4 linked regions of the Notamacropus eugenii genome follow. Each later gene encodes a partner of the first gene's protein in a complex. Links are inferred from orthologs where the notes say so. Each region holds a gene or a part of one and is shown in the gene's direction. Other genes may lie near its edges.

Region 1 (7,941 bases):
TTCACACAAAGTACTGTTCTTGAGTCCAACCCCACATAACTCTAGGCACTAGTCAAAGAGAAATCTAGGGTAATTTCTTACAAACATTCTTGAAATAAGTAATCTACCTGTGTCACATTACTAGTACCATATCATTCTTTCTCTGAGAATGCAATTTTGTATTGTTGTCCATATTTTAAGATGCTTACCACTGTGAGAATTTGTGGCAGAGAAAGCTACTGCGTATAGTTAGGCTCTTTACATAAGAATCATCACTCTCATCTGAATAGAAAGCTGCTTTTGTGTATAACAGATAGATATCTACATGAGTATGCACATCTGAAAGAACTCATACATGATTGTCCATATATTCTACATGAAACATACATATATTTCTCTAAAATCACATGTACACATATATGTACGCCTGTATATACATGACTCCATATGTCATTTAACCCCTTTCAGCTTCAATTTCCTCATTTGTAACATGGAAATAATAATGTTATGTACCTCATAAGTTGTTGTGAGGATGCCATGAGATTAAAAAATGAAGAAATTCTTAAACCTTAAAGTACTATTATTATTAAACATATCTGATTGAAGAAACTACACCATAATTAAAAAGGGTGCTGGGCTTACAGTCTGGAAGCTCAGTTTCAGGGTTTAGTGCTGAAATAAACTAGTTATATGACCCCACACAAGTTAATCTTTCTGAACTTAAATTTCTTCATAGGCAACATGGGTATAATAAAAAAATAGCTAGCATTTATATAACATTTTCAAAGTTTGTAAAATGCTTTGCATATGTTATTTCATTTGCTCTTCACAAAACTCCTATGAAGTAGGTGCCAGTATATATACTTTGCAGATGGGAACACTGAGGCAGAGGGAGATTGAATGACAGGACTGAGGTCATTGATCTATTAACTTCCTGAGACAGGATTTGAATGAATACAGGTCTTCCTGACTCTGAGTCCAGTGTGCTCTATCCACTGTACCTGTCTCGTGTTATCCATCTTTCAAAGTGGTTGTAGGAAAAGTACTTTGTAAATTTCCTAATGCTCTACAAATGTGAGTTCCTATTACTAGGTTTGCAGTTCTAATTGTTACTTGCACTGTTGGCAACTACATTATCAGCCATGACTAGTTAGTTGCTTTTCCTCTTCCAGGAATCATCCCATCTCTGGATGATATCTTCCACTCCACTTTTTCTTCACTTCACAGTTTGTACCTTGGGCTCAGTTTGTGCTTAAAAGAATTTCTTTTACCCATTTTGTTGAAATCATTTTATAGCTCCAAATCAGATATCTGGTTGTAATCTACATGTGACTCCTTAGCAGAACTGTGTCACAGACAATGCTGTTTTGTTGCTAATTGTGGAAAGTGTGCAAGAACCTGGTTATTAGATTCACTTTTTGACATCCAGCAAACTTATAGATGACATTTAGAAAACTCTTCATGAATCTGAAGGAAATGTCATTTCATCTCAAAATTCTATTAGTCAACTTTATGATTGTAGGTTCTTACCAATAAATAGAAAACTAAACTAGAAAACTCCTTAGGATTTTACTATTAGAGAACTACATATATGATAGAGGCAGGGTTGTTCTGGAACCAACTCATACTGGCTTGCAAGAGCCAATTGTTAAATTTTCAGTGTGAGTGTTTGCATTCAGCAAACACTGTAAATCAAGCATGATTTACTGTTTTGTGGATTGCCTACACTTAAGAAAGTCAGAAAGAAAATTATAATAAATGCAGCATAAAGTATTTAAAACTACTTTGTAAACTAGTAATACAGTATATAACACGTTTCAAAGGGAAGACTGTAAAGGCAAAATTTCTCTGACTCTATTTAGAAATCATGATCTAGGGTATGAATGTATTATCAGAATTCATATGGAGTTGGAGTTGAATTACAGAATTAGCAGAGAGGAATGCAGCTAATCTTTCTTCACTTCCCGGTAATATTTGAGTTAGGCACTGGTTTGTTTTCTATCCCTTCTAGAAACTTAAAAGAGTGAGGTGTGTGTGGGCATGACTGTATATGTGTGTGTGTGTGTGTGTGTGTGTGTGTGTGTGTTTTCCTGCAGATCCAGTTATTCAATCTTTACTAGCACTTTCTTGGGTGTAGAGGAAAAAGCCACAAGAAGATTGAGGTTTCAATGAGTGTTCCACTCTTAGTTTCTCAATAAAAGCATGTTACTTTACCTCCTTGAAGACCATTTTCCATATCACTAAAATGGAGATGATAATCCCTACCAACCTCATAGGCACTTTGTTTGAATCAAATGAGACTTTTGTTTGTAAAAGAATTTTGTAAACTGTAAAGTGTCTTCCCACCCCAAAAGAAGATTTTTTAAATGACATCTTTCCATTATTTCTTTCCTTTTTCATGTCCTGAAGAAATGTTACTTTTATTCAATTGCCCAACCCATGGATGCAAAGGATGTCAAAGCCAGAAGAAACCTTTGATATCATTTAGTCCAATTGCCTCTTTTATAAACTGAAGAATAGGAAGCCATGAGAAGTTACATAATTTCATCAGTGGAAACTGGAATGAGAACCCATATCTTTAGATCCCATGTTTTTTTTATCTTAATCGAAAATTCTTCCCAATTCTGTGTATAAAGTCTAACCAACACTCTCCACTCTCTGTGGAGTCTGTAACTATATCCTCTTTCCCCTAGAGATTGAAAGGCTGCTTTCATGAGAACTTGCTTTGCTTGCTGTGGTTGTCCCCTAACAGACAAATGGAGAACAGCAGAAGTAACCATTTGTTCCTAAATACCACACTCTAAAAGCTCCCCTTTAGAATATATGCTATTTTTCAGTGCTCAAAACTGTTGTAATTCAGTTTCTAATAGTTATCTCTTCCATGACTTGTAATTTTTAGGGATCATTGTATGCCCAGCTTCTTACATGTACTTCCTTTTATATATTTAGCTCCATTAAGATGAACTATGTTTATACATGCATATGTGTAAATCAACTTGGGTCAAAAGATCATAAGAGTTGGAGTTACTGTTGACACTGCACAAGATCCATTTCAGTTCCTTGTATATAGATTCCTGGGCATCTTTTAGCAATTCAGTTCTTCATGATTTATGTGCAGTGACTGATGTTTCACAGGATGCCATCTATCTAAGACACATGGCATTTAAAACTCTTGAATTGTCCCTTATCTTGGAAAGCTCACCTAGCCCTCAGTTCTTCCCATCTCAAATTACATTAGGACAAATCTACCACTCCACATCTTAAAATGGCCTGTTATTCATCTTTGAACTTAACTCAATTCATGGAATAGGACCTTTAGAAATCCTCTAGTTCAATCACTTTTATTTTATAAAGACTATGAAATGAAAAGAGAAAAACTAAGGCTCAGTAAGTTCAAGTCATTTTCAAGTTCCAGTAATTACAATGACATGAATGTTCTGACTCACAGATTTAACATATTTTCCATTTATAGCCACATTTTTTTTTCTCGAACTTTTCAATGTTTGCAAAATATCTGGGAAAATTGTTTTACTTTTTGATAAAGCTTTTTAAAAATACACTTAAGAAAATTCTAGATAATTGAATCAAATGTTGGAAATGCTGGATTCAAATCAAAGCAATATTTTGTTTAGGCAAAATTAGATATTTTAATTTTAAAATATATTTAAAAAGCTATTGGTATGCTGTTGTATTGTAGAATGTACTAATTAAGAAAATGGTGGTCTAATGAATTAGATACTTTGTGAGAATGGATCTTTTCCCACTGAAGTTTTTTCATTTTTTTTTCAAGTCACTACATTTCATATATTAATCAAATATTTACATGTATACAGTTACCAACATTTAGAAACTAAGTACCCATAATCAGGTTTGGGCTGAATTCATATAATGCCAGCTACTTCAATGAAAATGAAAATTCTGGCTACAAAACTCTTAGTCAAATCAATCGGAAATACCTTGGATGATTGATTGACTTTTTCACTCTTCCCCAGCATGTTTGATATAAAGTCGTATAAACAAAAAGTAAGAAAGAGAGAGAAAGAAATAAAAGTTCTCTACTACTTGCCCTCTTTTCATTTTGTTCTGATTTATGTAGTTGTAAGTTTAAACAACATGCCATTTTTATTTATTGTTATTTTTGGGAGGTGATGATATATTAATTCAAACATAGAGCTACTGATAAGCATAGATTTCAGCCCCAGATTCCCTAGGCCTACCTTCACATTTTCTCTAGCTAAAGATTTCCATGTAGGCTTGGACTGTGGCAAATGTAAGCCATCTGTAATCCTTTGACACAAAGATCCATGAGGTCAGGAGCTGAGCCTGTCATTTGGGTATACCCCATGCGGTTAGGGAACTGCCCTGGCACCTGTGAGTACTCAGTAACTGCTTGTTAACTGACTGATAAATTCAGTCTGGAGTTTGGAGAATGACAGTGTACTATTTGCAAACTATCCTTCCTCTAAATTATTTAAAACTAGTTCCTTTTAAACTAGTCATAAATATAAAGTGTTTCAAAGGGAAGATCATAAAGGCAAAATTTCTCTGGCTCTCTCTATAAAGCATGGTCTGGGACATGCATGTATTATCAGAATTCATATGGGCTGGAGTCAGATTACAGAATTAGCATAGAGGAATGCAGCTAATCTTTCTCATTGTTCACTTCGGAGTTAAATCTAAGTTAAGACTGGTTTATTTTCTCGCCTTTCTGGAAACTCTTTAAAGTGTTGTATTTCCCATGGTGAGCATTCATATGGATAGGCACCCCAAACCCACGTGCCTAATTCAGCTCCTTTCAATACAGTATTATTTTCAGATCAACTTCACTCAAGGCTCTGATGTATCTGCTTGACAAGTCCTAACAGAACACAGAGAAGATGCAAGCCAGCCGGTCTTTGCTGGTAACAATGGATTCATGACTTTAGGAACTGTTTCTGCTCAGGCTGCTTCTTGCTCCTGCCTGAGAAGAGAGGAGCACAGCTTTCCTGGGGTGTGCTATTTGAACAAGAAAGTAATCTAACACTAAATGCAGGCGGGGTCAGAGTGATGTAACAGGAAGCTCTGATGTTTCCCTTCTGCTGCAGATCACTTACAATCTGACAACACTTCCAATCCTACTCAGAACAAGCCCTCTCACCACAGTAGAGCTGTGGAACCCCTTCCATTAAGATCACCAGGCTCTGATAACTGGATTACACCCAGACTGCAGGATCAAATTGCAAGTCTTTTGCTGTTTCCCCACCTTGCCTGAGGGGGAGAATCTCTTCTGCAGAATCTCAGAAAAATCAAATTGCATCCAAGACTATTTTACAAAAAATTCCTTAGGAACTGCGCTGGGTGAGTACACATTAAAGCATATCTAAGAATTGTAAATGATAACTGTCATTTGACTTGAGATTGTTTCATGGGCTTTAGTTACTGGCATTGGGAGAAGCTGGAAACATTCTCATTGATTTGTGTATGTTAGATAAGCTATAGAGTGCGACAGCAAAAGTAGAAATCTTGTTAATTACTCCTGTCATTTAGACTAGTATTCCAGATTTTGGGGGGAGCAAGAAATAAAAGTTGAATGACTTGAAAGGAGCTCTTCTGGGAATAGATCTCCAAAACTAGCTATGGGTAATGCTATATTTTCTTATAGTCCAAATATTTAAAAACAAGCTTTATTCTTGCCAGCTGGAAAATATTAAAGCAATTGTTTCAGGAAAAAAAAAGGTCTCTAAACTCTCTCAGTACAATTGGGACTTTTAGGAAAGAGGAAGGATAAATGAAAAACTCCATTAGCTCTCTAGTCCTGAGATCTCCTCTCACTGGCACTGTTATTGAACAGGCAATTAAGGGCCAAAACACTAGCTTTCCATTGAGCACATTTGTTTGTACTTGCAGTTTACCTCAACTCACATACATCTTCTTAACCAATTCTAATATCATCAATTCATTTTCGTGTGTTTTCAAGCTATCCCTTCATAAGACTCCAAATGTTTGCATTAGAGTAGATTATAAAGTGGGATTCTTGGTGGAAAGTCATTGAAAGATTGGAAAAAGGGCCAGGAGGGAATATACTTTAAGCTCTGAAGTTATGTACTATTTTATTTTTAAAGTTAATTCATAGCAAATACAGTATTTCTTCCTATTGTGCTTCTTATAGTCTGCTGACTTACTTGTTTCTCTGTGCATGTGTTTTGGGAGGGGTTGAGAGAAATGGAGGCATGGGCATATTCAGAAAAAGAAAAAAATACATATATATGTACACACACATAAAAGGGAGGTACTATTGATTAATAAGAATTTACATAAGTACAAACAGAATAACTACAAGGTCCATATTCACTACTGGTTATGGTGATAATTAATTTTCTGAGTGAATTAATGATTGTTCAGACAAGACAAATCATCCTAATGAATTCAACAATTTGATATTCACATAATTTGTAAGTAAAGAGAATTCATTGATTGTTAAATATTATTATTTATTTTCAGGAAATTAGATATCAAAGTTGTGCTTGATTGATGTTAAAGATGCCACTACTGATCAAAACGGGTTTTGATTTCAATGACATTATGCCTCTTTTTTTTCTTTTTGCTTCCGTTATGGGCATCCTGGACTTAATCACCCATAATTTTACCATATTACAAGGGACTACTTTGTCATCCGGTATAATTCCCTGGCAGTTTTGCCTTGGACATTCAATACCACAGATGCTTCTAAATAACTTTTCACAAGAGTACAGCTACATGATTTTCTTGCTCTTAATTTATATATTACTTATTCATAGATCCTTTGACCATGAGAGGTATACAAATTTTTTAAAAATGGCAGGAGAGGGAGATTCTAGGTTACTTTTGAAAGCCTCTTAAAGTCTGGCATGGGAATTAGGAAGGACCTAGTTGAAATCATACATATTTCAGTTTTGATTTTGCTTAGAATAGATCATAAAAAATCTATATCTAATGATACTTAAAGATTATATCCCTCTCTTTGGGAAATTGTGTTTAACAAAATATTTCACATTATAACAACAAAGAGTGAAGACATGGATTAAAAAGTGACAAATACCTAATTAATTGTTGGGAGGGGGAAAAGTATCCAATATTATTTTCACTAAATATCTATAAATTGAAATGACATAAATTTGATCTCTTAAAATAACCATACAAAAAGAACCAAGCAATACTGATCTTCTAGAGCTAAAGATTGAAGCAAGAATTAAAATAACTTGGACCACACACATATGCTTTTGCTTACACACACATACACACACATACACACATACATACACACACACACACACTGCTCTAAAATTGTTTCCTTTAAAAATCAATAACTTGCATAAATCTATGTATGATTATGATACTGAGGTAATTATTTTACTTTCTTAAATATATTTCTTCCTCATGCTATCTCCCGCATTGACTGCGTGGAGTCATCATGTATGCCTAAGCTAGGTTTACACATGTACAATAAAATGGAAAATTTAGGCAGTGCAATGATATGGATGGTTTAAGCCAAACCTCTCACCTAAAATATTTAAACTATTAAATAAAAATGTATTACTGAGATAATTGCTCAACTTTTCCTTCATTTTCCAATATATTTCTTGACTTGTGAAAATGCTGGGATTTGTTTATTCTATTTCTCAACTGCACTATCCTGATAAGAAATAGTGATGCTAAGTAAAATGCAGAAGATAAAAAGTACATTATTTTATATCTATTAACTTGAATTAGTTTTGGAGTTACAGAAAACGATATAAAACTGAATTGTAAGCATGTAAACTCTAATCCATAATTTCAAAAAACATCCTTTATTTCACTAGCCCAAATTTCTGGTCCCAATATAGACATTTTTAGAGCATATTCACTTTGCAATTTTCCCAACAGAAGCTTCCTCAGCTTTTGTTAAGGTATATTAAAGGTTACCAAAAGTTCTAGAATAATATTATTCAAAGTTGTGTAATACTT
Region 2 (6,890 bases), on another chromosome or scaffold:
GACAGGTAATTGGTGCTATATATGGGAGGGTTCATTTCTCTTCAGACTCAGGTATGGAGGGGAAATTCTCCAAGTCACTCATTTATCACTATCAGACTTGGGATGGAGAGTTTTCCTACTCAGGACCAGAAACTGGAGAAGTGTTTGAGTTAATAACCAAGGACCCCAAGAATTTGGGTTAGCTAAGGAGCTGCATCGATTACCCATTCTCAGTCAAGCACATTTATGTCTTTGGGAACAGGGTGGGGGGAGGGAGGGGGAGGCTTGCTTGCTTTGTTGCAGAGTAATAAAGTCCATGCTTGTTCTAGCAAGTACCAATTTTTCTGTCAATCCTCAAACTTGGATCTTTGTTCTAACCTAAACTGTGAGGTCAAATAAAGCAGATACACAGCTGAACAATGAGGTGGGTCTAGAATCAGGTTGGAAGAGAGGGTGGGCTGGATGGCATTTGGGAAACTGAGAAGTGCTGTTATGGATTTCAAGCTGCTACCTTATCATCATCATAGCTCTTTAATGTTCACAGAGTACTTTACAAACATTGTCTTGTTTGATCCTCACAACTGTGAAGTATAATCCCTATTTTGCAGCTGAGGAAACTGAGGCAGATAGGGGTTAAGTGACTTGCCCAAGGTCACAGATCTAGTAAGTGTCTGAGGTCAGATTGGCACTCAGGTCTCCCTGACTCCAGGCCCAGTGATCTCTCCACTGTGGCGCCATCTAGCTATCTCTATAGATTGTGGAGAACAAAGTCAGCTGGCTGTGGTCCAACCACCTCTCACAGGCTGGACAGTCTTCATCTATTCGGGGATAATTTGAGTGTTATTATTATTTTTGTTAATTAAAAATTTTTTAAATTTATTTTATTAAATATCTCCCAATTACATGTAAAATTTTTTTAACATTCATTTTTAAAAATTTTGAGTTTCAATTTCTTCCCCTCTCCCTTTCAGAAGGGAAGCAGCTTGAAATAGATTATACATGTAAGTCATGTAAAATATATTTCTGTATTAACCATGTTGAGTGTTACGGTTATAGTATTAGTATACAGTATAGTAATATAGTCCATAGTAAGTACCTAGTAATTAACAGATACTAAATAACTACTTAGAATATAACATATAGTAATATACTTAGTAGCTGGTTAGTATATAGTAATATACTTGGCCTACAGTAACAGTATATAGTTATATATACCATTTATTATATATTATAGTATACATATGTTGTATAGTACATAGTTGTAGTAAAGTTAGTGTATAATACATGTCAGTATCTAGTGTTACTGATTATGACAATGACGAAGATGGTGACAATGGACCCACTGTCCCCTGCTGATTACGTCCAGCTGGGTACCAGGTAATGCCCTGTTCACCTTCTGGAAAATCCTCCAGGGCACCATCCCAGGCTGGTGACTGCCCTTCCTCCCATTGTTTAGGACTGGCTGCCTTATGCCACAACCGATCATTTCCTTGTGGTGAGCTCCTCAAGTGCAAAGCCATTACAGTCTCATCTTTGTGTCCTTGGCTCCCAGAGCAAGTCTTACACGTAGCAGGCACTCAGTGACCATGTGTTGTAGCTGGTTGCCTACTTTTAAAATGTGATCATTCTTCATAAAGGTTGGTTTGGGTCTTCTCTGGAGGACCTATGGAAAGGTGTGGACCAGAAGTACCCAGGATGATCTCAAGGCTAAGCCTTCTGCTTCCAGGGCTAGGGGCAAGGCCTGGCAGCATCTGTCTTTCCTCTGCTGTGGAGGATGGGTAGGCAGACACACAGTGAAGTCCTTTACAGGAGAGGACACTGGAAGTGTCACAGCTATCCTGGGGCTCTCCAATCTAGTAACTCGGATTTCTGGAGTCTATTTGTAGCCACCTGAAGGAGGTTGTGTCCTCCTTCAAACTTGGGAGATCCCTGAGGGCAAGTCTGGGGTCCCTCAGATTAGGGAGTCCACTTGATTGCTTTCTCTCTTTATGGGAGTTTCCTCACGGCCACATTGCCTCCCTCAAACAGGTGCTGTCTCCTTCCCAGGCCAGAACTCCCCCTCTGACCATTCCTAGGACCCCCAGGAGCTGTTTCCTGTTGAAACCCAGGGCTTCCCTTGGCCTCTATCTCCTCTCCTGATGGGTGCTCTCCATCATCGCTGACTGACTGACTGTTAGGCTATGGCCTATGGGAGCCACCAGCTTAAGACAGACAGACAGATGGCAGAGGACTCCTGGAGCCAAAAGGCACTCCTTTGCACTGGAGGTAAGTGGGGATATGGTGGGACACTGGGTCCACAGGTGACCTAACTGTGCCCACAGCTCCCCAGACTAGAATTGCACCTCGGGCTCAGTCTCTCCTCCCCCTCCCCCCTGTTGCTTTGGGAGCAGGACTGGGCGTGTGGAGGCAGAGTGGGGCAGTGCCCGGCTGGGAGCCTCCCCTTCGTGTCTCAGGGCACGTTCCTCAGGCAGGAGGAGGGAGGGAGAGAGAGAGGGAGGGAAGGAAGGATGGAGGGTTAGGTGTGCCTTGGCCCTCATAGGGTGACCACAGTGGGTAGCCCTGACCACAGCAGGGACACTAGGCAGTGTCCTCACTCTGGAACACTAACCCTTCAAGCCAAGCTCCAAGCTAGACCTCTTCCTGTGCACCTGAGAGGTCCATATGCCAGACAGAGCACGTCCAACATGTCAGTGACCAGACTCCTTAGACCTAACCTAAATCTTCAATCCTGCCTCCCCCAACTCCAACCTGTGGCCCCCTAGATCTAATCCCCCTCAGTCCTGGCTCCCGGAACCCCAAGCTCTGCTCCTCTGAATCTCCAACAACTCAAGCTCTCTGCTTCCCATTTTCCTCCAATTCCATTTCCCTCCGATTCCCCAAGTCCCCAACCCTGCCCCTCCAGCCTCTACTCCCAGCCTCCTCCAGCACCTCTAGGTGTGCCCCTGAATCCCTAGGTCTTCCAATCAGGGTAGCTGTGGGCCCTCAGTGGACGCACAAACAAGGGATAGTAGCCCAGCCACAAGACCTCACAGCCATGCCTGTGGCTCCCTCCATTACCCCCAAATGGGAGTCTGGCCAATCTCCAGGGGCTTCCCAGCAAGGAATGGGATTCCTGGTGCTCAGACGGGAAGTCTGAGAGGTCCTACAAGGACTCCGACCATCCCAAACAGTGATTTAGCTTAACCCTTTGTTCTGGTAAGGGTCCTGTCCAGTCCAAGTACCTTACCCCCTCCCTCAAGCCCCGATATTGGGCAACATGGAAACATTCCAGCCCCAGGTGGCCCCCTGTTTACCATGACAAGAACAGCCTGGTTCTGAATGGGATGAGGAGGATTCAGTTAGTCCCTAGTGACTGGGGGCTGGGGCAGTCAAGGCAGCTTTCTTCTTCCAGGTCCTGAGGGAGGCTATTTGAGGAAGGAGCTGGTACTATATGAAAAATTCTAGGGAGGAGCAGAGGGAATTATAGAATTTCCAGTGGAAAGTTACCTTTGGAGATCATAACTGGGAAACTGAGGCAAAAAGGGGAGACAGGACATGTTTCTCCAGGAGTGTAGGAGGTCACATTTGAACTCAGATCTTGTGGCTCGAAGTCCACCCTCTTGCCCTGAACTACAGACTGCATAGTCAGAGCCAAGAAAGAGCCTGGTGTGTTTGGGGCTGTCTATAACCAGCTAGTCCCCCCGATGGCCCTGCCAGTGGCCAGAACCTAAGGGAGACGCGGGCTCTGGCTACCTTCCCCACCCTTGAGCCCCTAGCTCAGGACCGGAGTTGGGGAGGAGATTCAGGCCCCTAGCCACTGGGGCCAGAAGAGCTGTGGGGGCGGGGAGGGCCAAGGGGTGGAGAGCTGGCCAGCCCCGCCCCGGCCCGAAGGGGAATATTTAACCTGAGAAGAAGCTAGCTCTGCCCGGCTCCACCAGCCCAGCTCAGGACTGACCGTACCGCGGCCAGCTGACAGACGGTGGCCAGCCACGGACAGCGGCTAGCCGGCTGGCGTCCAGACCGCGGACGGTAACTGCGCCGACGTCCACCAGAAGCCCCCGAGCGAACCCGACCCCTGAATCTCTGGGCCTGAATCTCTCCACCTGCTGCCCCACTCACCCGCATTCACCGCGGGACGGACAGACTGAGAAGGACCGACGGGACCTCGTGCGGACAGACAGGAGAACTCACTGAGCGCCCGCATTAGGTGGGGGGCGGAGGGGAAAGGTCCCGAGAACTTGGGCGGAGGCGGGGGGGAGGGGGTCTGGTGGAAGCAGGCCCGGGCCAGGAGGTGGGAAGGTCCGAGGGGGCAGGAGCCCCGGGGCCTCCAGGTCTGTGTAAGAGCCTGGGGGCCCCCAGGGACGCGCCTAGGGGTTCATTGGCAGCCTTCATCCCTCCAGCCCTAGTCCCGGACCGCGGGAGCCCCGCGCAGCCCCAGCCTGCCATGGGCTGGCTCCTACCCGTCACCCTCGGTTGCATCAGCCTCCTGAGCCTCCTGCTCCCGGGCACGCTGTCCCGGCGCCCGGGACCTCACCCGCTGTTGGCTCGGCCCAGGTGAGTGCGACGTGGCCCCCTCGGGTCTCAGGGTCCGCCCCCTCGGTCACCAGTCATCTCTTCTCGTACGAAAACTGCCCCCCACCCATCCACCCCCGCCCAGTCCAGACCCAGCCCTCTGACTTCTACAACAGCCCGACTCCGGAGACGAGGACCCTACCCTCATCTCCACCACTTCTCTCCTCCTTCAGGGTCCCAGATCACCTCCAGGGGTCCAGATCCCAGAACCTAGTTCAGAGCCCCTTCACTCACTCAGAGCTAGGCCCACTCTGACCCGTGGACCTCCGATCCCCCACCCAGAGCTTTGGGGGCTGGGGGCGGAGCAGGGAGGGGCCAGCTTAGGAATGGGGCTCTCTCTCCCGCAGCACAAAAGGGGTTAATGACTGGTCAGTCCACCAGGGGGAGCCGTGGTCTCTTCGCTCAGATATGCCTGGGCTCAGTCCAGGTGGGAGAAGGAGTTGACCGCTAGGATTGGGAGTTGGGGACCAGGAATTGGGAAGTGGCCTTGCACAGGCCAGCATCACCAGAAGGGAGCCTAAGGGAATCGTAATAATGGCCAGCTTTAAGAGGCCGCATTTGGGCTTCATTACCCTCCTGGAAGGGAGATGATATTAATTCCATTTTATAGAGGGGAAAACTGAGGCAGACAGAGGTTAAGTGACTTGCTCAGGGTCACACAATCAGTAAGTGTATGAGTCAGGATTTGAATTCATGGCTTCCTGATTGAAGGTCCAGTGTTCTACTCACTGCCCTGCCCAGCTACCTCTAGCCACCTAAAGCTAAAGGGAACCTCAGAGGTCCGGGGAGATGAACTGACTTGCCCCAGCTCACGCAAACAGTGAGCATCAGAGACAGAATTTGAACCCATGTCCCCTGACTTGCTCCAGACCTTTGCATGGTAGCACACTGCCCCCACTTCTGAAGGAGAGTAACCCTCCCATCCAGGAAACCCCTCCAAAATTGCTGCCAGCTAAACCAGGGTCAGACTATTTGAGTCTGGAGATCTGGGGCTATATGGAATCTCCCCAGGCCCCACTCCCCCTGGGGCCAAGGGCCTAAGTCCAATCCACCCTTCACGCCCCCCCCCCCCAACTTTCTGACTGAACGGGGAGGAAGGGGCAAGAGAAATCTGCCTTGAGATTTACAAAGCATGATTCTCATAATAACCCTGCAAAGGACCCCCCTAAGAATTAGTTTCCCTGTTTTACAGGGAAGGAAACTGAGGCCCAGAGAGAGGCAGCAGGGTCACAAAACTAGCAAGGGGTCAGAGCTAGGGCTTGATCTTAGGTCCTCTGACTGCAAGGTTGGCTCTCTTTCCTCTGGACCAATGCTGCCTCTGATATGGAGGTCGCAAAAGAGGGCGGCAGTCTGCACAGAGGAGGTCATGGGCCCTGAGTCCAGAGAAGACAGGATCAGCTGAGATGGAGACACAGGCCCAGAGATGGGGGGGATGTCATGGGCCCTGAGCCCAAGGGAGGAGGAAGTAAACCCTGAGGCTGCAGATTCAGGTGAGTGTGAGGAAGACTGAAGCTGGGTTTGGCTTCTCCCCCTGTTCAGGTGGCAGCTGCCCAGCACTCAGGACTGGGTGGGGTCATTACCGCCATCAGCCACATTCCAGGGAGCAGTGACCCACAGAGGCCTGGGAGTTGCCCTTTGCCCAGGGTAGATGAGGGTTAATGGACCATGTGACCCTGATGACTGGTGTCCAGGATGGGTTTCCAGGGGCTGTGGTCTTTTCCCGGCAGTGTCCCCAGGGCCAGAGGGCATCCCAGCAGGTAGTCCCCATTTATGTCTGGCAGTGTGAGGGGGTTGGGGGCTCAGGTTCACTCTTCCCTGTGTTTCCTCTGCAGGGAACCCCCAGACCGGCTATCCCCCCAAGACCTCGAATACCAGGCTGTGATGAATGTGGGGCCAGTGGCTCTTGTGGGCCAGCCAGGGCCCCACCTGGAGCCCCTCGGGGGGTACCGCCCTCGACACCCACCCCATCATCGCCATCGCCACGGAAGGCTGCAGGGCCGCAGGGGCAGGGGCAAGAGCAGGGGCAGTGGCAGGGGTCGCAGGCACACCAGGCGTCACCACGCCCAGCTCTTGAGAGTGGGCTGTGTACTGAGCACCTGCCAGGTGCAGAACCTCAGCCATCGCCTGAGGCAGCTCATGGGACAGTCAGGGAGGCAGGACTCAGCCCCTATGAACCCCAAGAGTCCCCACAGTTATGGCTGAGCATCAACCCTGCCCCTACAGCCCCATCAAGACCCCAGAGCTCACCACAGGGACCCCTATGTCTGGGATCTCCCATATCTGGGACCCTGGCCAAGTGACTTTCCTCTGAGGCTAAGCTTCCTCATGCATCCAAAGGGGATAGTCGTTAATACTGACAC
Region 3 (7,078 bases), on another chromosome or scaffold:
GGCCTTTCCATACCTACTGTTTTTGAAATGCTTGAAATAACAGGTTTAAGCTAATACTTATTTTTAGCTCCCCTAGATCCTTTCTTCCCTCTTCTTAGTGGGGGGTGGGTGGGAAGAATTAAATGCACATACTTGTTGCAACTTGTCCCCACTGATTTGTCATCTGTACTGTTGAGCCTTTGGGGTCTTACGCTCCAAGGCTCTTTTCTTGGCTAATTAGAGTAAGTCAATTCAACAAGCATTTATTGTTTGTTGAAGGAAGTCCTTTGGTGGGCACTAATGGAAACAAAAATAACATTTAGATAAAATTCAGAGTTCTGCTCTCATAGAATTTATCACTTAAATAGAAATATTTTTCCAACCCCACCCATCTGAGTGGGGGAGGAAAATCTACTTGGGATTTCTTCTTAAATGTGCTCTGATGAGTGTGTGTGTATATCTATCTATCTATAGATAGATAGATAGATATATCGGTATATCTATAGATAGATAGATATCTATATCTATCTATCTATCTACCTATCTATCTACCTATCTATCTATACATACTAGTGACTGGCTCTTATCTGACTCTGAAAAACATTCTTTGGGTTCCAACTTTTCCTTACTTCTTACCTCTTTCTTGCTTCTTTCCACTTTCCAAGCGCTGGGAAGTGTCAGGTAAGACTTTCTGTTCAATGGGAATTTACAGCCAGAGAAACCTGAATGGATGAAAGCAAGTACATGTGAAAAAGAAAGATCTGAATTCTACCAAGGAATATTTCAGTTGGGATGTGACCAGAAGAAAAACAAAACAAAACAAAACTGTGTATCATAGATTCTCTAGAACAGGAGGGATACGACGTGGTTAAACTCTTTGAATGTCCACAGAGGACTAGATCCCACATGGTGCGCCTGTTTTGCCAAGGTAAATTCCAGAGCGTTTTGGAAAACACGTGCTTCACTCCAGAAGGCAGCGGGAGCTCCCGCAAACAAACCGGGCAGAGCTGGTTCTCTCTTTGGAGCAGGAAAGCATCTGAATTAGAGGACGGGGGGCAGGAGGGGGTCGGGCGGGGCGGCTGAAGTGTTTTCCTAGCTTCAGATCTAACATCCCAGGAGCAGCCAAGTGCACCTGGACTGATAAGAGGCGTGCCAAGTTTCACTTTTGCTGTTTGGCATTCCCGGACGACCGACCCCCTGCTGGGGAGCGGGACGGGAAGCGAGTGCCTGCTCTGAGCCTCAACTGGAGCCTGGCTCTCTCTTGGCGGGAAAGGAAGGGGAAGCTCTCACTTAAAAGCATAATTTATCCTAAAAGATCTCATTCCCCGCCTTCTCTCCCCCACTCCCATCTCCCACTCCTTCCCTGCTCGGGGTCTGGGGGCAGAGTAATAGCTTACATCCTTATACCCTTCTAATTAAAAAGCAGTTTCTTCCAACCAGGTCAAGCAGTGTTTATCCCCATTTTATTGACGAGGAAACTGATACCTGAAAAGATGGAATGACTAGCCCAGGTTGACCCAGCTCGTTTTAGATCTGGGACTGTTCCAACTGCGAGAGAGCTCACACCACCTCTGGCCACAGACCTCTGTGGCACTTGCTCTAGGTCGAGGCGAACTCGATGCTCTCGCCCACTCCCTTGGGTGGAGGAGTTGGAAGCGAGTGAAGAGTTCTGGACCGCTGAGTGACGTTGGGAGATGGGCTTTTGGCAGCTCAACCCTCCGGGTTACGGACTCCTTACCAGCAAAGCAAAGGAGCAATTTCCTTGGAATGTGGGGATAAAACCACCCTTCTCCCTGGGACAGTCGAGTTGTCCTTTGATTTCACTATATGCAGACACCCAGTTCCCCAAAGGAAAGGTTTCCTTTCCCAAGGGTGACGACAGAGCAGAGACGACGGAAGCGGACAAATGAAAGTAACCTGTTCTGGAGCAATGAGACAAACAGAGGAAAATAGGGGCGGGAAAATACACAGGGAACTGACAGAGATTTGGGGTCAATCGCTATTCTTAGGCTCGAATCCTGGCTAGGCACCTTTGCCGCCTCAGCTTCAGTGTCCTCGATAAAATAGGTGGAGGCTAGGGGAAGACGATGATTTCGAAGGTGTGTACCTGCTCTGACATTCTATAATTAGTTCTATAAACGTTTATTAAAGTCTACATACCAGTTATTGTGCTAGGCTCTGGGCACTGTGATGAGAAAGAAGAGAGTGGGGAGGGAGGAAGAGAAATAGGAGAGACACAGAGGCAGAGAGAGAGGGAAAGCATGAAGGATACAGACAAAGGAAGTGAGAGATATTTTTAAAAGGGAGGAAGATGAGCAAAGACACAGAAGCTAAAGGGATGAGTCCGCCTAACACATAGTAGGCGGTCAATAAATATTTGAAGAGTGAGTGTTGTCCTTGCCCCACCTGCACACATAGGCGTTTCTGAGCCTGGGCCAAGTTAATGAGTCGACATCCAGAGAGCCCTCGCCTCGGGTGCACCAGGGAAGCCACTCTACCATAGCTGCGGCGGGCATCCAGAGGCTGCCGCTGCACCTAGCTAGCTCGGGAGGGCCAGGATTTGGGGGACATCCCAACCTTTCCACAGCCACAGCAAATCTTGCTCCGGGTACAAATGACTCACTCCAAGGTGATTCCTCTGACGCAACCTCCATCCAGCTGGCCTTTCCATTCACACCTTAGAAACAAGGGACATGAAAGCGGGTCCGGAAAGCGACTGTCACAAGCTAGCTGGCCACTCTCCTGGAAGGGTCGGGAGTGGCCCGGGCTCCTGGAGCTCTGGACCACAGAGGCACCTGTTCAACCAGAGGGCTCGGAAGCCCTGATGGGCAGGCAGCCAGAGACAGGAGGTGAGGAGTCGGGAACTCCTATGTAAAGCACCTGCAGAAGACAGAAATAAAGCCAAGTGAGGAATCAGGAGTACACAAGTATATAAATAAGACTTTAGAGTTCACAGACAAGAGGAGGATGCCAGTATTAATATCACCACCATTTTCCTGACGAGGAAAGTAGGGACTCCGAGAGGTGAATGACTTGCCTAAGGTCACAGGGCTGCGAAGTCCCGGAGCTAGCCCTGAAGCCCGGTCTTCTTTTCCATTACATCACTAGGCAACCTTTAAAGGTTTTATAAAGACTTACAGTGGTCTGCAAAAGTACTCAACTCCCTGGCCACGATCTTCGCGTCCTCACAAAGACCCAGCCCCAGTCCACAGGGAGAGGTCCTCGCCCAGGCAGTGGGCTTTTTGCTTTACTGCCCATCTCACCCTTACCTCGGGGGGAAGGCTTTGGAGTTCCAACAGAAGTCAGGAATTCTTGGCCAGAGGCCAACCAGTTCCTTCCTAAACGTTCGAAAAGCAGAACAATGACACCACAAATTTAACACATACAAAGGCAGGGAGTTTGTTCTCTTGCTCTTGGATTTACACACCGGAGTGAAACATCTGAAATTTCAACAAGCTCTTTCCTTAGAAAAATCCCCTACCCAAGCTTTCCTGATCTCGCACCCCTTGCCAAACCCTCTGGTCTTTTCCAGAACTCTGGTGTCTCGGACATTTGCTAGACAGTGTCTGGGAAACCTCCCTCACTCCTATCCCCTCCACTCATTACCATGCCTGAGGCCGAATTCAAGTGCTTCCCAAGACGGCTGCTTCCTAGAGCAGGAGCCTTGCAGGGAGGAGGAAAGTGAGACCCAAGAAGAGTCCCAGTGACCTTGAACCCTCGACTCCTGTGGACTAGCCCAGTCGCCTTGGCTGGAAGCTAGGATCTCCCCGGGACATCAGAGGAGATGATTTGGTGGGGAGAGAGTGGGCACGCTTAAGCTCCGCAGCCATCCATGATAATTGTTACAGCCTGGGTGCTGTGGACGCTCTGGGTGAACGTCCCCTTGCTGCCCACGGTACCCTAACCCAGGGTTCGCCTTACACTGGGGGGCCCTGAGGCAGGAAACGTATGCGTGTTGGCGCCTTCGACGCAGGGCGCAGAAGGAAGAGAGGAAAATGATTGCACTAACAGCAGCAGCAGCGCCAGCGGCGTCCGCTGTGGAACCCCCAGCAAGCCCCGCCCCGCTGAGCTCCTATAAAAGTAGGAGGCAAGCGCAGGACACTTCAGAGGTTTAACTGGGGACCTAAAGACTTCCTGCTGCTCCTGCGCCTTCTCTTCGCCTCTTATCTCCGACTCTTAATAGAACTTCTGTCGCCGAGGGTGGGGATCTTTGACTCTCTCATTGGATTGATTACCTTCAGCAGCAGGTAAGGGGGCCTTCGAGCTTGGAGTGGTGGCAGTGGAGGTTGGGTAGAGGGAATGGGCTTTAGTGATCTCCAAAGTCACTGATCAGAAAACTCAGGTCCCTGCACCGACTTTCCCTGTGCTTGCTTTCCGACAACCCTGCTGAGGCTGCTGGAGCCGAGATCTGGGCGGGAGAGCGGGGAGGGGGGGGGGGGTAAAGAGAGGGGAGGGGTGACTGAATCTTCGCCTAGTCCAAGTGAGGCATGCCCTGCGAATGAGCTCCGGAGGCTACTCTTAGCTCGGGATCCCTCCCAAGAGAACGTCTTCCTCTTCTATCTGTTAAGAATAAGCTCCTAGAAAAGTTTCAAAGTGAGTCCTAAGCTCAGAATTTAGGGAGTGCTGCCGGGTGGGGTGAGGGAACCCCCCCCCCCCCCCCACTCGGCCTGTCAGTTCAGACGGCTGACGGATGCAAAGCCTGCAGGCGGCTTATCTGCCCTGGCGCGATAAGCGATTGAGCAAACAAAAGCGGGGACTAGGTTAGGACGGTTCTGGGGCCACTGGTCTGCGGCGCTCAGCCAGCTGGAGCTGAGCTAGAGCTGCTGGGGGGGTGAGGGAAGGGGCTAGAGCCGAAGCCAGGAGCAGAGTCAGACACTGACTTTTTCGGTTCTCTCTTTCATCCAGGGTGACCGGATCGCCGCCGGAATGCAGCTGGTGCCAGTGGCCCTAATTTACCTGGGCTCCTTCGCCTTCCTGGGGGCGGACACTGCACGACTAGATTTGGCTTCAGAGTTCAGAAAAAAGTAAGTTCCGACCATGTTCTCTAGCCAAGTAGTTGGGTTCAGACACTCCGGAGCGAGGAATCCTCCGTTAATTCAGGGTACGGGAGAAAAGGGTACGGTGTTGATGCTACCACTCACCAGTGGGAGAGGGCTCTGCGATTCGTTGCATATGGTGCTAATGGTGTGGCTGTTGGTTACTTTCCAGATGGAACAAATGGGCTCTGAGCAGAGGAAAGAGGGAATTGCGTGTGCCGGGCAATCCCCTCGCTAGCCCAGCCGAAGTGAAGGCTGGTCCTGTCCAGACATTTATTCGGCCCCAGGACGTGAAGGGTGCTTCCCGCAGTCCACAGCCCAGGTAAGTTTGTGGGTCCCGCTTGGGGAATCCCTTTCATCTCCGAAGGTGCTACTCCCCGCCTCCGTGGCCCCAACTCGGGTCCAGAGCTGAGGAAGGGCTTGGGCTAAGAAAAGGTGCCTCGACGGAGCAACATAGAGTCCCTGTTCCTCTCCGAGGCTCCCCTAGTTAGGCTAAGATTCCGGTCTAACTCATCCAGATCTTAGGGACTCTACGGGTTGTCTAACTCCTCTCTGTCCCTCCTGTCCCGCAGCAGTCCGGACGCAGCCCGCATACGCGTCAAGCGATACCGCCAGAGCATGAACAGTTTCCCTCACTTCCAGAGCCTACGCATTGGCTGCCGTTTTGGGACGTGCACCCTGCAAAACCTGGCGCACCAGATCTATCAGCTCACGGACAAAGATAAGGACAATTCGGCGCCCCCCAACAAAATCAGCCCCCAGGGCTACGGGCGTCGGCGTCGGCGCTCGCTCGCCGAGGGCTCGTCTGCCCGGACACTCTCCTCCTTCTCTTTGTCCTCCTCCTCCCTCAGACGGCTACGGCAGCAATAGCGGCAGCCGCGCCTCGGGCCGCTCAGCGAGCCAACCTGCGTTGCGAGCCGATTGCGCCCGGCGCCACTTCGAGGGGCCGCCTTCCTCTGGACGTAGGGGGCGGGAGCCGCGGCGAAACCAAAGCACTGCACCCAATGGGCGCCGGCCGGCCGGCCTCGGTGCGAGCGGGGAGGGGGCCAGTTCTGTGCGATGGAGAACTCGGACGCAGGAGGCATAAAGTCCACTAGAGGAGCTCCCGCAGTCTCCCTCATCCCTCTCTTTGGGGAGGAATGGATCCTCTCCAAGTGGGGACTGACCGCGGTCGCATTTTGCCTTCACGCCCTTTGCTTCACTCGGACCCCAGTCCGCATCCAAGCTGCAGAGACCCAGGCCGGGCCTAGGGTCCCCTGAGGAATCATTCAGAGAAGGCTAGGGCGGGGGGAAAGATGCCCGGGACTTACGTGTGAAGGACGAAGATCTGGGAAAGTTGGACTTAGCGAAGAGGCCCACACTGCGTCTGCCGGCTTCTCCCCGCGGTCGGGCCGGGGTCTCGGAACTACTTGATCTTTTCATAATAGAGGAAAAGTGCAATGGGGCTTTTAAAAATGCATTTTAATAGAGAGGTAACTATCTGATATTTATCTTGCTGTCAGGTTTTTTTTTTTTTGTAAATTCAGAGTTATTTTTGTACGTTATATATTGTATTGTATTGTATAAGGGCATTTTAAAATAGTGTGTATCTCCCTCCCCTTGTCTTAATTTTAATATGAGAATGTCACAGATTGATCTCAGCCTGGTATAACCCTCTCACAGTCATATTGGGGGTGTGTATGAGATGAGTGAGTGTGTTGAGAGAGAAAGTGTGAGTGTATGGCATTCTGTCCTGGTGGAAAAAGAAAATTCCTCGTCACTGTATATTATATTTTCTTAAAGGGGGTGGTGATAAGGAAACTGGCAAAGCTAATAAACAGTTACAATACTGACTACGTGGTTCTGGACTCAATTATCTTTGAAGAGAACTGGACTCTAATGGGTGGTAGTGGAGGGTTTAGAGATCCTCTTCCCAACTCCCCCTTCCGTTGACTAGTTAGAAATATTTTTTCCTGGTACACTCCTTGGCTTTCTCGGGGTTTGGCCCTGAACTATTGCGGGGTCAAGTGACACGCTGCCCCAAAAGCCTCATTTTTCCCAACCCAGAAATCATAATGACTTAT
Region 4 (7,461 bases), on another chromosome or scaffold:
GATCCTCTGTCCTTATCATATGGTTTGAAATAAATCAACCAATATTTATTTAGCACCTACTATGTGTGTTATGAGATATAGCTTTGTAATGGTTTGAGTTGGAAGGATGTGGGTTCAAATTTCAACTCTGACACAAGTTAATGTATGATATTCAACTGAGCCTTTGATGATGCTCTAAAACTGATGCTCTGGTTCTTATCTGCTTCTATAGAATGAGTATTTGTGGATAGAATCACAGGTCTAAACATTGTGGGAGAGTAAAACCCCTTCTCTTCCCTTCCTACTTCTTTGTATGTCTCCCATTTTGTACTCTGGGCTTTGGCCTAACTGGGCAACTTACAGAGGGCTTTGAAAGTTTGCCTTCAGGGGCAGGGAGCAATAGGAAGTATGGGTATCCAGAAATAACTACAGTTACGTCATTCCATAGGTGTATTCGTACCAAGGTATTTATATTCATGATCTGTTTGTATGTGTTATATGGGGGAAGCATCTGATTTTTGGACTTGGTCATTTTATTTTAGTTTATTGGGAACTGCAGCTTGGGTGAACTGACTGAAGAGTTTAAAAATCACTTAATGATTTCTAGATTAATGGACCTCCCAGCTGTCATAATACGGATGTGGTGCTAGCTCTGTTGTCTTGCAGTGGGCTGCTTTCACTTGGAATAATAAATTTGTTGTATAACATGAAACTATACAGTCTACCAATGCTGGGGATGATGCCTACATTTGGTATCTGGAATATTTGGTATGATTTATTGTAATTCAGTGAGAGGACCAAATTAATATCACCTCAAGTTTCAACTGTATTAATTCTACAATGAAATTGATTTTATGCTGTATTGATTTTTATAATTAAATCTATATCTGCCTAGCGCTCCCTTTTTATGTCCTTGAATTGAGCTCAGGAATTCAGTTGTCCCTCTGAGTTAGTTTGAAATTATAATTAAAAGAAAAGTTGTTGTCTCTCATACCAGTTTATTTCCAGGACATCTATTTGCTGTCTTGAAGTTCCACAAATTAACTTGGTGCCATCCCCAAAAGATATGTCATCAGTCCTTGCCTGGCCTTGTGCAATTAGGGGAGTTTTTATCTCTTTCAAGGAGACAGCAAGTCTAGTAGATCCCCTCACAAAGATTACAAGATGGAGATTGGTCCTGTAAAGCAATCTTCATTGTTGCTGTTCATTTCTTTTATGTCTGACACTTTCAGATGCCATTGACAAAGATACTGGAAAGGTATGCTATTTTTATCCAGCTCATTTTACACATGATGAAACTGAGGTAAATAGGGTTAAGTGACTTGTTCAGGGTCACGTAGTAAATGTCTGAGGTTGAATTTTAACTCAGGTCTGCCTGACTCCAGCCCTGGTACTCTATCTGTTGCATCACATAGCTGCCCTTCATTATCAGAAAAGGGGTGACTAGCCACACTTGAATACCAACCCTCTTTTCTTAGTATAGCCAATAGTAATGTTCTACAACTACCAAGACCTTTTCTTTGTTGTATGTCAATAAAAAGGTACCTTCCTCACTGGGATCCCTGGCTTTACTGAGGTTTACTGACCTGCTTTGTTAACAGATATGCACATCACTGCTAATAAACTGATTTTGCTAGGAGTTGTGTACCTCAGCTTGCCTTTCTTGATTTTATTTGCCACATCCACATTACATATTGTAGAAGTGGTGATCATATTCAGTAGCTCCCAGTTTTAAAATGGCCTTATAATGGTACAGTAAATTTGACAAGAGATTTGCTGTTGACCTCCAGAACCACTCTTCATGTCTCATGAACTTCCTTAGATGGAGAGAGCTCATCAGTTAAATTTTTTTTGGAGGAGGAACAATCCTTTGAAATACAATTTTAAAATTTACTTAAGTTGAAAGGTACAAATGATCTTGACTCCTTTGTTATATCAGTCTCTTTTCTCTCAGAAGGAAGGAAAATGAAAATAAATCTTAAATATGGGGAGAAAAAAAAGTAAGGTCATATCTTTCAGGATTAGATAGTGGCATAAAGCTATCACCAGTGTCAGTACTCTTTATTAAGTGTTAACCACATTAGGAATTGCAGAAAACTCCAGATAGAATCTTTGTGGTTCTGATGAAAATGACATTATGTATTACATTTGTACATTAAAATGGTAGCCTGATTTACCAGGAAGAGGGACCAACTTGGAGCCAGAAAACTTGGGCTCAAATTCTCCCCTGGTCACTGACCAGGGATCATGAGCAATTCACTTCTCAGAGCCTCAGTTTCCTCATATATATGGCTACTAGTACTTGTAGCAATGTCTTATAAATGCTATCTAACATTACTATTATCACAACTTAAAGAACATAAGAAAAGCGTTTAAAGGTTTGGGAATTGGCAGCCCTCTTTGGACAGCCCTTCCGCTGATATCTCCTCTTTCTATTTAGATTCATGTCAAGGTAACTGGGTGGTGCAGCGGTACCCTGGTGTCCTCCAGGAATAGCTGTTCTTGTTTTTATGGAGAGGCCAAGAGAAATCAGAGTAGTGTTAGCAGTGCCCCTGGAGAGAAGGGAGAAGAGGCTGCTTAATGCACCCTAAGCACTGGTGCTTGAAGAGAGAAAAAGGTGTGTGTGTGTGTGTGTGTGTGTGTGCGCGTGTGTGCGTGTGCGTGTGTGTGTGTGTGCGTGTGCATGTGTCCCCATATCCCCTAAGACCTCTGAATGAAGGTGTTTGGAGAGTCTTGCCAAGGAAAGGAATGAAGACAGGACAATTAACTATACACAGGCACACGTGGTGCTGATGCACAAAGAAAGCAAAGGACACACACACATACAGCACACACACAACTCTCTCTCTCTCTCTCTCTCTCTCTCTCTCACACACACACACACACACACACACACACACACACCCCTCTCCTCTCCCGTCACAGATTTTTTCCTCTCTCTGTCCCTCCTTGCTCCAGCAGTCCTGCCTCTCAGTGGTTCCGGCCCATAACTCCCCTGGAGGATCCCAGAATAGCCACTACATCCTTTTCATCCTTCAACCCCAGCGAAGAGGACCTGCCGTGGGGGGAGGGTACAACCTCCCCCTCCACCCCCCCCCCCCAAAGTAGAACCAGGACAGTTCCAGCGGTTGGGCGCTGAGGGGCGGTCTGCCTCTGCTTGGGAGGTTAGGTCGGCTCTCCTCCGGCTCCTGCGCCCGGACTGGGAGAGCAGACGAACGGAGCCAGGGGAGCACGAGTTGCGGAGCAAAGAGCCGGGCTGCCGGGCGCTGCCGCAGCTGCTCTCCTCTCTTGGCCGCCTCGGACTCCCCCTGAACCCCGGCTCCTCCTTGGATCCTCCCCTCCACGCCCCTCTTGTGGGAGCCTCGCTCGGAGGGTTCCCCGGAGCAAGCTCGATGGAGCCGCGAGCTCGGCGGCTGCTGCGACTTCTCCTGGTGCTGCTCTGGGGTAAGCAGGGACAAGGGCGTCGGGGAGGGACAAAGGGGCCGGGAGCCGATCGGGCCGAGGGCTCTGACCGTGGCTCCGAGCAAGGTTTCTCGGTGCAGGGAGCCCGCGCCGCCTCCCGCTGGATCCTCTAAGTTTTTCCTGTGAAGTCTTGTCTGCCCGCCAGGAACTGTGTGCCTGGGAAGCCTCGCCCTCCCTCCTTCTGCCCTGCCCTGCCCAGCCCGGGTACAGCGTGGGCTTGAGCCTCTGGGAACGAGAAAGGAGCTGTCCCTGCTGTCCACCCGCGGAACTTGGGCGCGTGGTGCGGCTGGTCAGCAGGACTGCGAAGGGGATCCGGGGGTGGGGCATTCCACTGAGCACCTCTCTCCCTCTCCCTCTCTCCCCCTCCCTCTCCCTCTCCCCCTCCCTCTCCCCCTCCCCCTCCCCCTCCCTCTCCCTCTCTCTCTCTCTCTCTCTCTCTCTCTCTGTCTCTCTCTGTCTCTCTCTGTCTCTGTCTCTGTCTGTCTGTCTGTCTCTGTCTCTCTCTGTCTGTCTGTCTCTGTCTCTCTCTGTCTGTCTGTCTCTGTCTGTCTCTCTGTCTCTGTCTCTCTCTCTGTCTATCTCTCTGTCTGTCTGTCTCTGTCTCTGTCTCTCTCCCCTCTTCCACCTTCTCTTCCCCCTCCCCAGCCCCCCGCCCCAGTCCCTGGCTAAGGAGTCAGAGGAGTACAAGAGCTGGGTTCTTGGCTGGAGGTGGGGTCTCATTGTCCCAGGCGGGGAAGGGGAAGTGGATTTGGGGCCGGGCAGTGGTGGTCTGGGAATTCTCTGGCCAGAAACATGGTATACCTGGGAGGCGGCTGGACTGTAGCCGAGAAGAGGGACCTGTGTTTTAGGATGCAGCGTTGGGTGCATTGCTTTCCTGTTTCATTTGTCTGCTGGATCTTTACTTTTTTGGGGGGATGGGGTAGATGGGGGAAGGAGGTAGGCTGAGAAGGGGAACTGGGAAGATACATGGACTGAGAACGGGTCTGATAAAATTCCAACATCACCTAGAGATGCGCTTCAGTCAAGTCAGTAGGCTTGGGTTAGAGTCCGAACTTTGTTACTGACTACCTGTGTGACCTTGAGCAAGTCATTTCGCTTCTCTCGATATCTTTTTCCTCATCTCTAAAAAGACGAGGTTGCTGCGGATGGTCTCTAGGGTCCCTTTCAGCGTCGAGAATGGCTCACCTATGAAAACCAGAGAGGATTTTATATATTTTTCCGCCTGTGAAGATGGGGGCAGAGGCGGCGGTGGCTACAGTGAGTGCCCAGAGGAAAAGGAATATTAAGAGTTGTGGGAAGGCTGATCTTTGAGGCAAACTGTTCTTCACCCTTTCATGGCTTTTCAGTAACTGGGATAACCGAGGCACAAGAGGCACCTGTTCTAACGGGTCCTAGGGGCCAGGAGTTTCTTCTCTCCCCGAACCCCCTCTCCCCGATCTCTCCTCTTCCCCCTCCTTCCTTCACCTCTCTCCCTCAACTCTCACCCCTCCCCCCCCCCCCCCCCGCCCCCACTGGGGTTTTGGACTAGGCTGCGGCTTGGGCTCATTCTTTTTTTCCCCCGGCTAAGGAGTGAGATCTCATATCTAACACTGCAGTTTTTGTGGCAGGGACTGTCTTGTTTAAATGTTGTACCTCTAGCTTCCCCTCCCTCTCCCTCTATCCTCTGCTTACTAGTACAGTGTTCTGTGTACAGAGGCCATGATGAATATTTGTTGAATTGAATTGTGTTGGATTCCCTAGATTGAAAATGGAAGACATGGAGGAAAAAGGAGATGAGAATTAGGCGCTGCGGCAAGGGTTTAATTGGGATCTCTCAGAACTGAACTGATTGTGTGAGAAAACCTATTTGTCACAGTTGCGTATTAGTAGGTTTTTGTTGCTATTGATCTTTTTTGGTGGAGAGGAGCTGGTGGTGGTGCTGTGAATTGGATCAGAAACCCTCACTGAGGAAGAATAAGGCCAGAAATCTGTAAAAGTAAAAATACACGTCTAAGGTGATATGGAAGGAAGGATCCGTTATCCCCTAGAGTGGTTCCTCACTCTGTCCTGTCCTCCCCCAATCCAACTGTTTTTTTCTTATTTCTGTATCTGAAGCTTTCTTGGTAAGGTGATGGCATGACTTCCATTCAGTTTGCACAGGCTTGGCCGTAAATTGATACCATTAGATGTCTTGTAGGTTAACGCATTTTTTTTTTTTTAATGATAACATTAAAATGTTTTAACTACCCAAAAGAAGTTATACTAGAGTTTTGATTTCATATGTCCTTTAACCATAAGGAACCTAGAAATGTTTTTGGTGTTTGTGATGTGCTTTATTTTGAGTGTTAAAAGTGGTGTGGTAAGGATAGTTTGTATAGACATGTTTTTAAGCTGGCTTTGGGTGTGCATGGGTGTGTGAATTTTGTGTGTACCTGCCTCTTTGGCTTGAGGGCTAGATGGAAAGTGAAGGAAAGGAAACTTCCACTCCCTGGTTTTAAGGGAATAGCTCACAGCAGAAGAGCTCAGTTTTGTGCTTTTACTGTTACAATTCCCACATTCTCCACTAACCATTCAAAGGAGGTATCAGCTTCTCTTTGGATCCTGAAAGTGGTTATTTTGGTAAGTTACCTTCACGGATCTGGAGTTACAAAGTGTGCACCCCACCCTCCACGTGTGCTGATTGCATCATTAACTCTAATGCTTGCCTAGTCCAGATCTTTTACTTTAGCACAGGGAAGCTGAAACTGGAGCACATACTGATGCTGGAAAACTAGAAAAGGCTTATTCCATTGAATGTGATTTACTAATTGATCTCTCTGCCCCCATTAGGATGCATTAATAAAAGGAATGCTTTTGGTTTTCAAGCAGTTTGTTGTTCCCTCTTCCCACCTCTTTATTATTTTTCTTGGGCAATTCCCAGAGATTAACAGTAAGCTATGGCAGCTAGGTGGCACAGAGTGCCAGGCCTGAAGTTAGGAAGGCTCATCTTTATGAGTTCAAATCTGACCTCAGACACTTACTAGTTGTATGACCTTGGGCAGATCACTTAACCCCATTTGCCCCACTTTCCTCATCTGTAAAATGAGTTGAAGAAGGAAATGGCAAACCACTCTAGGATCTTTGCCAGAAAAACCCCAAGTGGGGTCACAGAGAGTTAGGATGTGACTGAAAAAATGACTGAGCTACAACAGCAAACAATGTGCTATCTCACTCTGTGGATTTGTAGCAGTTGAGGAGTGAGTATCTTGCCCAATATCCTTAGGTAAAATGAATATTAAGGAGCAGTGCCATAGGACGAGTGTTGTACAATTAGGTGAGTGACTGGGTGCGTGACATTTTAGTGCAGTTTCCCAGCTTGGTTACAACGTTAATGTAAAGTGACTTGATTGAGACAGCTTTGTGGGGATATTCTTGTAGTTTTTCACAACAATTTATTTAGGGTAACTTATAATATTGAAAATAGAATTTGCTTGTTTTTCAACTATTTTAGTAGGATTATTTCAGCAGAATGTAAACTCCTTGAGGTCAGGGACTATTTTTCTTCTTTGTCCTTGTGTTCCTAATACTTGGTATGGTGCCTTGGACATAATAAATGCTAATTTGCATGGTTTGTATTTCAATTGCAGGATTCTTAGAGCTGGAAGAGACTTGAAAAGTGATTTAGTTCAGTTCTGTTATTTTATAGATGAGCTAACTGGGACCAAAAAGTGACTTACCCAAGTCATACTGCTAAATTTTGGCAGAGCTGATGCTGGAACCCAGACCTGTTGGCTCCTACTTCATGCTCTGCCGATGATATCCCTACCTCCTTCTTCCATGGTGATCATCCTTCCTTATTTATTTTTATTTCTGCACATCTCACTTTACATCTATTTTTTTCCATTTATTGCTTGCCTGACACTGTAGTCTGGAAGTCATTGTTTAAAACAAAAGAAGTGAATGTAACACACACCAATTTATTTTTAGGGTCTGTATGTGCTTTTTTCAGCTTTTAGCAGCAAAGAGCATTCGTATTTTTAATGTATTTCATCCATTTAATAA

What was found.
Region 2: the proteins of CALCRL (region 1) and ADM2 are in contact, whole or in part, in a cryo-EM structure (PDB 6UVA), measured with the Homo sapiens proteins. The link is inferred for Notamacropus eugenii from reciprocal best matches to the Homo sapiens genes CALCRL and ADM2. Residues at the interface, in NP_001258680.1 of Homo sapiens: Val36, Thr37, Lys40, Asp70, Gly71, Trp72, Asp90, Tyr91, Phe92, Gln93, Asp94, Phe95, Asp96, Pro97, Ser98, His114, Ala116, Ser117, Thr120, Trp121, Thr122, Tyr124, Thr125, Asn128, Thr131, Lys134, Val135, Ala138, Leu139, Leu141; in NP_001240774.1 of Homo sapiens: Leu106, Arg107, Val108, Gly109, Cys110, Val111, Leu112, Gly113, Thr114, Cys115, Gln116, Val117, Gln118, Asn119, Leu120, Ser121, His122, Arg123, Leu124, Trp125, Gln126, Leu127, Met128, Gly129, Pro130, Ala131, Gly132, Arg133, Gln134, Asp135.
Region 3: the proteins of CALCRL (region 1) and ADM are in contact, whole or in part, in a cryo-EM structure (PDB 6UUS), measured with the Homo sapiens proteins. The link is inferred for Notamacropus eugenii from reciprocal best matches to the Homo sapiens genes CALCRL and ADM. Residues at the interface, in NP_001258680.1 of Homo sapiens: Val36, Thr37, Asp70, Gly71, Trp72, Asp90, Tyr91, Phe92, Gln93, Asp94, Phe95, Asp96, Pro97, His114, Ser117, Thr120, Trp121, Thr122, Tyr124, Thr125, Asn128, Val135, Ala138, Leu139, Leu141, Phe142, Thr145, Thr191, Leu195, Ala199; in NP_001115.1 of Homo sapiens: Cys110, Arg111, Phe112, Gly113, Thr114, Cys115, Thr116, Val117, Gln118, Lys119, Leu120, Ala121, His122, Gln123, Ile124, Tyr125, Gln126, Phe127, Thr128, Asp129, Lys130, Asp131, Lys132, Asp133, Asn134, Ala136, Pro137, Lys140, Ser142, Pro143.
Region 4: the proteins of CALCRL (region 1) and RAMP3 are in contact, whole or in part, in a cryo-EM structure (PDB 6UVA), measured with the Homo sapiens proteins. The link is inferred for Notamacropus eugenii from reciprocal best matches to the Homo sapiens genes CALCRL and RAMP3. Residues at the interface, in NP_001258680.1 of Homo sapiens: Arg38, Asn39, Met42, Thr43, Gln45, Tyr46, Glu47, Tyr49, Gln50, Met53, Trp69, Asp70, Ser117, Arg119, Thr120, Phe228, Leu231, Ile235, His238, Thr239, Val243, Val245, Lys249, Gln250, His251, Trp254, Tyr255, Phe257, Leu258, Phe262; in NP_005847.1 of Homo sapiens: Trp56, Cys57, Leu59, Phe62, Ile63, Tyr66, Glu67, Thr70, Cys82, Tyr83, Pro85, Asn86, Pro87, Leu88, Gln90, Ile93, Thr94, His97, Arg98, Cys104, Thr105, Val106, Asp107, Arg108, His110, Leu111, Glu112, Asp113, Pro114, Val118.

What each region holds. Positions count from the first base shown.
Region 1 is NC_092876.1:253,854,212-253,862,152, reverse strand, and holds the start of CALCRL (calcitonin gene-related peptide type 1 receptor), read left to right. Parts: upstream 1-4,924; 5' UTR 4,925-5,316; intron 5,317-7,941. UniProt on the Homo sapiens protein: G protein-coupled receptor which specificity is determined by its interaction with receptor-activity-modifying proteins (RAMPs). Together with RAMP1, form the receptor complex for calcitonin-gene-related peptides CALCA/CGRP1 and CALCB/CGRP2.
Region 2 is NC_092874.1:303,814,724-303,821,613, reverse strand, and holds the start of ADM2 (protein ADM2), read left to right. Parts: upstream 1-3,885; 5' UTR 3,886-4,165; intron 4,166-4,358; 5' UTR 4,359-4,402; coding exon 4,403-4,512; intron 4,513-6,362; coding exon 6,363-6,732; 3' UTR 6,733-6,890. UniProt on the Homo sapiens protein: Intermedin/ADM2 is a peptide hormone that plays a role as physiological regulator of gastrointestinal and cardiovascular bioactivities mediated by the CALCRL-RAMPs receptor complexes.
Region 3 is NC_092877.1:35,155,821-35,162,898, reverse strand, and holds ADM (pro-adrenomedullin), read left to right. Parts: upstream 1-4,075; 5' UTR 4,076-4,226; intron 4,227-4,884; 5' UTR 4,885-4,905; coding exon 4,906-5,003; intron 5,004-5,187; coding exon 5,188-5,337; intron 5,338-5,587; coding exon 5,588-5,885; 3' UTR 5,886-6,847; downstream 6,848-7,078. UniProt on the Homo sapiens protein: Adrenomedullin/ADM and proadrenomedullin N-20 terminal peptide/PAMP are peptide hormones that act as potent hypotensive and vasodilatator agents. Numerous actions have been reported most related to the physiologic control of fluid and electrolyte homeostasis.
Region 4 is NC_092872.1:430,843-438,303, reverse strand, and holds the start of RAMP3 (receptor activity-modifying protein 3), read left to right. Parts: upstream 1-4,450; 5' UTR 4,451-4,586; coding exon 4,587-4,698; intron 4,699-7,461. UniProt on the Homo sapiens protein: Accessory protein that interacts with and modulates the function of G-protein coupled receptors including calcitonin gene-related peptide type 1 receptor (CALCRL), calcitonin receptor (CALCR) and G-protein coupled estrogen receptor 1 (GPER1).